Linked DNA regions of Oryctolagus cuniculus. The protein of the gene in region 1 interacts with the protein of each later gene in a pairwise test. Links are inferred from orthologs where the notes say so. Each region holds a gene or a part of one and is shown in the gene's direction. Other genes may lie near its edges.

What was found.
Region 2: the proteins of SEC23B (region 1) and PRRC1 interact in binary tests that used the Homo sapiens proteins (3 or more experiments, as listed by UniProt). The two-hybrid records come from large-scale screens. The link is inferred for Oryctolagus cuniculus from reciprocal best matches to the Homo sapiens genes SEC23B and PRRC1.

Annotation. Positions count from the first base shown.
Region 1 is NC_091442.1:43,327,247-43,330,894, forward strand, and holds part of SEC23B (protein transport protein Sec23B), read left to right. Parts: intron 1-586; coding exon 587-664; intron 665-3,125; coding exon 3,126-3,287; intron 3,288-3,648. UniProt on the Homo sapiens protein: Component of the coat protein complex II (COPII) which promotes the formation of transport vesicles from the endoplasmic reticulum (ER).
Region 2 is NC_091437.1:16,666,091-16,669,738, forward strand, and holds part of PRRC1 (protein PRRC1), read left to right. Parts: intron 1-432; coding exon 433-822; intron 823-3,378; coding exon 3,379-3,539; intron 3,540-3,648. UniProt on the Homo sapiens protein: May act as a regulator of the protein kinase A (PKA) activity during embryonic development.

The DNA of each region.
Region 1 (3,648 bases):
GGGTGACCTCGGCCAGCATTGAATGGGAACTGCTAGAGGAGGGGAGCTGCAGTTCCTCTCCAGAGTCTGCATCTTAACCCCCACCCCCCCACACTGTGAGTGGTGGTCATCTGCCTCTTGATGCCTGAGAGACACTAGTCTAGACTCAGTAGGTGGCAGAGTTAAGACTGGAACATAGAGGTCGGCACTGTGGCACAGCGGGTTAAAGGCCTACAGCGCCAGCTTCCCATATGGGCACCGGTTTGAGTCCCAGCTGCTCTGCTGTCTGATTCAACTTTCTGCTAATGCACCTGTGAAAGCAGCAGAGGATGGCCCAAGTCCTTGGGCCCCTGCACCCACCTGAGAGACCCAGAAGAAGCTCCTGGCTCTTGCTCCAGATCAGCTCAGCTCCAGCTGTTGAGGCCATTTGGGGAGTGAACCAGTTTATGGAAGACATCTCTCTATCTGTCTGTCTCTCTCTCTCTGTAACTCTTTCAAATAAATAAATCTTTAAAAAAAAAAAAAAAGAAGACGACTGCATTTTAACACCTGACACTATCTTAGTTTTTTGTTTGTTTGTTTTTAATAATATGTTTCCTTTCCACAGTGTCAGAAGTTTGGACAGTATAACAAAGAAGATCCCTCTTCTTTCAGGTTATCAGATTCCTTCTCTCTATATCCTCAGGTAAGTAATACACATTTTTAAGAATTCCTGCAGAGTAACCATTGCAGTAAAGTGAAGAGTGTGTTCCATTTCCAACCTCTATGAGGAGCTGTAGGAGTTTTATTAACTGAAGACCAGGTTGTGTGTGTGAGGCACGACCCCAGGCCCTACAGAAGACAGCAAGAACAGTCAGGAGAAAACAAGTGCATCTAGTGTCCTGAGAAGGCGAAGCAGGGTCTTTGGCAGTAGGCCACAACCAGATCTCTAATTTGCAGAAGTTAGTTCCCTCAGCAGCAAACCAGCAAAGTGAGGGCAAGATGATTTAACAGAACGAAAACACAGTTAGTATGACAGGTTATTAACATAACATGACAAGCGTTTCGCAGTGAGTCTGTGGTTATCCAGCTGCGTCCTATTTAGGCATCGGTAGTTAGCAGCTCTGAAAGTAACTACAAAAGGCTGAAACGAAGCACATGGCTGCCCCTGGGCAAGGGAAGAGAGGAGAGAAGTGGATGGAGCAGGAAGCTGCTCTCATGGACCTAGGTTTCCACGTTTCCCAGACTTCCGCCTTTGTCTGTGAGTGAGCTAGAGCTGAGCTCTGTGGCTGGCTTTGAGGGCTCCATCAAGTACTGAAACCTGGTGCGGTGCCAGCCACCTGTTCAGTGCTTCGTGTGAGCCAGATGACAGCAGGAGCCTGGGACTTGCCGGGGTCTGTGCCCGGCAGGTGGAGGCCAGGTGGAGTTTGTGAAGATCAGAGCAGAGTTTCAGCTCTCGCCCCACCACTGCTATCACAGGTGAGGTCCCAACCCCTGTGGATTTCAGTTTAGAAGGGAGGAGTTGGTCTGGAGAAGTGATTTGCAGTCCTTTCTCCAAGGGGCCCTCCTCAAAAGCTAGCACGTAAAGTAGAGGGACTGGATGCCACTCTGTGCCCATGCACCCCACCCACCCAGTGGCTCCCCCAAGCAGTGCCCTTAGCATTCGCTTCACTGAGATTCTTGAAGAGCAGTTGGAAAACCAGCAGATGAGGTTTTCCTAAGGAGTCTCTGTCAAGGCATTCTAGGATAGACGTCAGGAGCCCAGTCTCTAGAGCCAGTGGCCTGGAGGAGAGTCCCTCGCTGCCACTGCATAGTGCAGTGACCTGGGGCAAATTGGTCACACCTGTCTGCCTCAGTTTCCTCAGCTGTAAATAAGGAGAACTCGTGGGTTTATTGGAAGGATTCAATGATTCTTGGCAAGCACGTCGTGCCTTGCACGTAGAATCTACTGAATGTCAGGCACATTAGTCTTTAGTAGCCTGTGGTTTAATTCTGAGCCTCAAGAAGCTTTGTACTTCTCAAGGCAGCTCACTGTCACATGCTGGCAGCTCTACACACTGAGCGAAAAGTCTGCCCCCCAGCCCCCTGTAATTCTTGGGGTGAGGACCATGACCTCCCCAGCATTGTCTCTCCCCTGTGCCTGTCACTGCAGCCCCAAGGACTAGCTTGCGCCCTGAGCTCTCATCTGCCCTTCCTAGGCCTGCAGTCCCCTCTCTCTGACCTCCAGCCATCCCATTCATGTCTTTCAGGATCTATCTTCAACTCCACAGCTCTGGGTAGTGGGCTGGCCCGTCACCACCCCCACCTGCTGTAGTACTTTCAGTGCTGTGGCTGGTGATGTGAGGATGCCCCAGGGGGCTTTTTCCCCATGGGACCTGACTTCTCAGAGAGCAGATATTCTGTCTGCACAGACCAGATGCTCTGGAAATTAAGTGTTTCTTGACCTTTTCCCTTTCACGTGGAAGCTCTGCCATATCCCGAGGACCTTTAAACATTGTTTAAATCATAGTCAAAAACATGTAACTTTAAAATGCACCCAGAAACGTTAACCATTTGGGTAGTGTTAAGTTTATTCACGTTGTTACCCAGCAGATCCCAGGGGGTCACATCTTGGGAAACCGAAATTCTCTTTTTCTTTTTCTTTTTTTTTAAAGGTTTATTTATTTATTTGAAAGTCAGAGTTACACAGAGAAGGAGAGGCAGAGAGAGACAGATTTTCAGTCTGCTGGTTCACTCCCCCAGTTGGCCACAATAGCCGGAGCTGTGCTGATCTGAAGCCAGGAGCTTCTTCTGGGTCTCCCACATGGCCCAAGGATTTAAGCCATCTTCTGCTGCTTTCCCAGGCCACAGCAGAGAGTGGGATCAGAAGTGGAGCAGCCGGGACATGAACCGGCACCCATGTGGGATGCCGGCACTGCAGGTGACAGTTTTATGCTGTGCCACAGCGCTGGCCCCAAGAAAACCAAAATTCTCAACCCATTCAACAGAACTCTTCATTGCCCTCTCCCCCGACCCCAGGCACCGCTTTCTGCTTCCTGTTTATGTGAACGTAGAGACCTTTCTCCTGAAGTTGGGGCTCTGCTGTGTCGGTGCTGAGGTGGGCCGCCTCTGCCGAACCGCGGCAGGGTTGCAGCTTTGTGCCTTTGCCTCTCGCTTTGTGTTTGCAGTTCATGTTCCACCTCAGAAGATCGCCGTTCCTCCAGGTGTTTAACAACAGCCCCGATGAGTCGTCGTATTACAGGCACCACTTTGCGCGGCAGGATCTGACGCAGTCTCTCATCATGATCCAGCCCATCCTCTACTCCTACTCATTCCAGGGGCCCCCCGAGGTAGGTGCTATATGGGGGCTCTTTGGAGAACTGCAGTCACCTCATATGTCTGTTTTTTTTTAATTCTCCCCTAGCAAATTTACTTTTAGAACAGAATTTAAAAAAAAATATTGAAAACTTTAAGTTTCTGTAGCAACTTAACCTTATTTTTGAGTATTAAAAATATCCACAGGAAAAAGACTGGACGTATAAAGCTGTTTACAAACTATTAAAATAGAGAGTTAGATAATAATCTGAGTGTTTCATAGTAGAAAAAATAAGTAACCTATGAAATATTCACAAAAATTATGTAACAACATGTTACTGAGAAAAATCGAAACAGCAACTTTTCTAAATGATGTTTTTCAAGAATCCTGCAAAA
Region 2 (3,648 bases), on another chromosome or scaffold:
AGGTAGACTTTTATTCCTTATATTCATATTGACTGTACATCTTCTGTCTCTTACCACAACAGAATATCTAAAAGTCCTGTGCTAGGTTTGTTCTGTCTTGTGATTTGATTAACCTTTTTCAGCCTTAGATTTTATATTCACACCAGGGATGAAAAATGGCTTTATTTTATTAAAAACATACTGAAACAAATAAGCCAACAACTAAGATCTACTTGATGAACAGGGTCATAATTTAAGTTCATGTAGCTGTTTCCTTGTAGGAGTCATTTGCACCCAACCATATTTACTGCATATTTTAAATTAAACATTTATAGTTGTTCCTGGGGATGTGGCCTGTTCATTTTTTAAAATTTGTGAGAACAAAATCACGAGAAAACTAAGTAAAGAGCATCTCCGATATTTTCCTCACGTCCTCTCTCTTGTTTGTTCTAGCTGCGACCAGTTCTTTTCCCTCTGCGAACGTGTCCACTCTGGAGTCCTTGCCGCCGCACGCCTACTCGACCCCTCAGCCGTCCCTGGCGCCCGTCAGGCCCTCGGCACCCTTACCTTTTGTGCCTCCTTCCCCGGTTCCGTCTGTCCCCCCACTAGGGACTTCAGTGCCACCTCCTGTGTCCTCGGCGCCTGCTGCTGCCTTCAGTCATGCTCCTCCGTTCCACTTCCCACCTTCAGCGTCTGCTCCCAGTGCCCTTCTACCCGCCCCCGCTCCGGGTCCGCCTACATCAGGGTTTTCTGTTGGTGCGACGTACGACATTACGAGGGGCCACGCCGGCAGAGCCCCGCAGACGCCCCTCATGCCGTCCTTCTCCGCACCTCCGGTGACAGGTAATTCTCACTCGTGAGGAAACACGGCACTCCAGGTAGTGTTGCGTCTTTAAAAGCGGACAGCGTTTTTGAGGTGTAATGTGCCTATCATACAGTCCATCCGTTTAAAGTGTATCGCTTAGGGTGGGCATTGGCTGGCGGCTAAGGTGCCACATGAGAAGCCTGTGTTCCGTGTCGGAGTGCTGGGTGTGAGTCCTGCCACAGTTCCAACTCCAGCTTCCCGCTGTTGTGGACTTGGGAGGCAGAGGTCATGGCACAAGTATTTGGGAGTCTGTCACTCACGTGGGGCACCTGACGGGATTCTGGGCTCCTGGCTCAGCCTCAGCTGTTACAGGTATTTAGAGAGAACCAGTGGATGAAAGATCTCTCTCTCTCTCTCCATCTCCCTGCCTTTCAAATAAAATAAAGATTGGAAAAAATACTATGCATAATTCAGTAATTGTCTATTTACAGAGTTGTGCATCCATTACCCTAGTCACTTTTTTGAGAAGGCTTATTTCATTATTCATTTTATTTATTTATTTGAGAGAGAGAGAACACACACTCCCACTTGATACGTTTCCTGCTGCCTCTTAATGGTGTGCAGTAGTGGGAAACTGGGATGGAGCGTGGAGCCAGGACTTGAACCCAACACTCCTATTACGCCCTACTTTGCCTGATCCTCATAGCCCTAAGCAACCACTGATCTACTTTCTGTCTGGATTGGCTTATTCTGGGCACTTCATACAAAAGGAATCATGTGATCTCCGATAACTGACATCTTAGAGTATTTTCAGACTTTGTCCACTTGTAGAGTGTGCCAGCACTTCATTCCTTTGCATGGCTAAATAATATTCCAGGGTATGAATAGATCATGCTGTATCTGTTGAACAGTCGGTCTTGGTTCATTCCACTTTTTCGTGGTTTGGATAGTGCTGCTTCATATACCTGTGGGCAGGTCTGTGTGTGGATGTGTTTCCATTTCTCTTCAGTATATACTTGGGCCTGGAATTACTGACTTCTATGCTACTCCTATGCTACTTGAAGACTGCCCAACTTTTCCAAAGCAGGTGCACCATTTTACTTTCTCATTAGCGATGTGCGGTGGTCCTGTTATTTTTATTTGTTAAAAGTTTTGTATGTAGGGCCGGCACCATGGCTCACTTGGCTAATCCTCCGCCTGTGGTACCGGCACCCCGGGTTCTAGTCCCGGTTGGGGCGCCAGTTCTGTCCTGGTTGCTCCTCTTCCAGTCCAGCTCTCTGCTGTATCCCGGGAGTGCAGTGGAGGATGGCCCAAGTGCTCGGGCCCTGCACCTGCATGGAAGACCAGGAGGAGGCACCTGGCTCCTGGCTTTGGATCAGTGCAGCGCGCTGGCCATAGCAGCCATTTAGGGGGTGAACTAATGGAAGGAAGACCTTTTTCTCTGTTTCTCCCACTGTCTAACTCTGTCTGTTAAAGAAAAAAAACCAAACTTTGTATATAATTAGCATGGGAGGTATCAGAAAAAACTCCAGCATTTTGTCCTAACATCTGTACACTTATAAATGGCAAGGTGAAGTCTGAGTGTTTTTCAAAGCTTTGCTTAAAAAATTGTCAAGGCTGACTAGTGTCATTTACCCAAGTGTGCCAAGACTTGGTGATCCTGGGTCAGTTACTTCTATTATATTCTTTTTTTTAAGATTTATTTATTCAAAAAGCAGAGTTACAGAAAGAGAAATGGAGTGACAGAGAGTAGTCTTCCATCTGCTGGTTCTCTCTCCAAATTGCCACAGCAGCTGGAGCTGGGCCAGTCCAAAGCCAAAAGCCAGGAGCTTCTTCTGGGTCTCCCACGTGGGTGCAGGGGTCCAAGTACTTGGGCCGCCCTCCATTGCTTTCCCAGGCACATTAGCAGGGAGCCAGATCAGAAGAGAAGCAGCCGGGACTTGAACCTGTTCATATGGGATGCTGGAGCTGCAGGCAGTGGCTTTCCTGCTGTGCTGCAAGTTTGGCCCCATTTCCACTTTCTGCTTATCTGGAATGGTTATTGGAAACCAGTTGTCAAAACTTCATCTCACCATCTCCTTCCTGTTGTTTCTTATGTTAGGGAACAGAGACAACTTTGTTGCAATTTTTATGAATTTAATTGTGCTTACCTACCTTTACACATAAAATACATTGAGAGTACAAGTTTTGCATCCCTGTCTTAGTATATGTGAATGTAGGTCATCCTTTTATATGATGAGTTTGGCTGCTTCATATTTTTGTAGATTAAAGAGATTAGAGGGGTTGCTGTCCACATTCAGCTGCTGAATGGGACAGACATGATGAACTCCTTGATGTAGATGTTTTTGTCAATCTTTAAAACCCTTGATGTAAGCTTGTATTAAAGAAAATGAATTTCTTCTTTGGAATTCTATTTAATTTGCATTTTGTACAAGCCTGGGTGATTCTTTGAGTTTATAACTTAATCTTGAAATGCCTCAGTATAGGTTACATTATTAAGGCTGTTAAGCCACTCATCTTGTTTTATGTCATCTTTTGATAGGACAAAGTTTATAGAATAAATTACACATATTAAAATTTTTACCACTGACTAGGTATTTTGCCAACTCCCATTACTCAGCAAGCCAGTTTGACATCTGTGGCCCAGGGAACTGGAACCACATCAGCCATAACTTTCCCAGAGGAGCAAGAAGATCCTAGAATCAGTCAAGGCCAGGATGAAGCATCTGCTGGTGGAATCTGGGGTTTTATTAAGGTAAGAGGCATTTACTTTTAAAATTACTTTTGATTTTCAAAATACAAAATAGTGTAAGGAAAAAGTAAAAGTCCTTTTTATTTTCATTACCAGTTTCCCATGGTCTTTT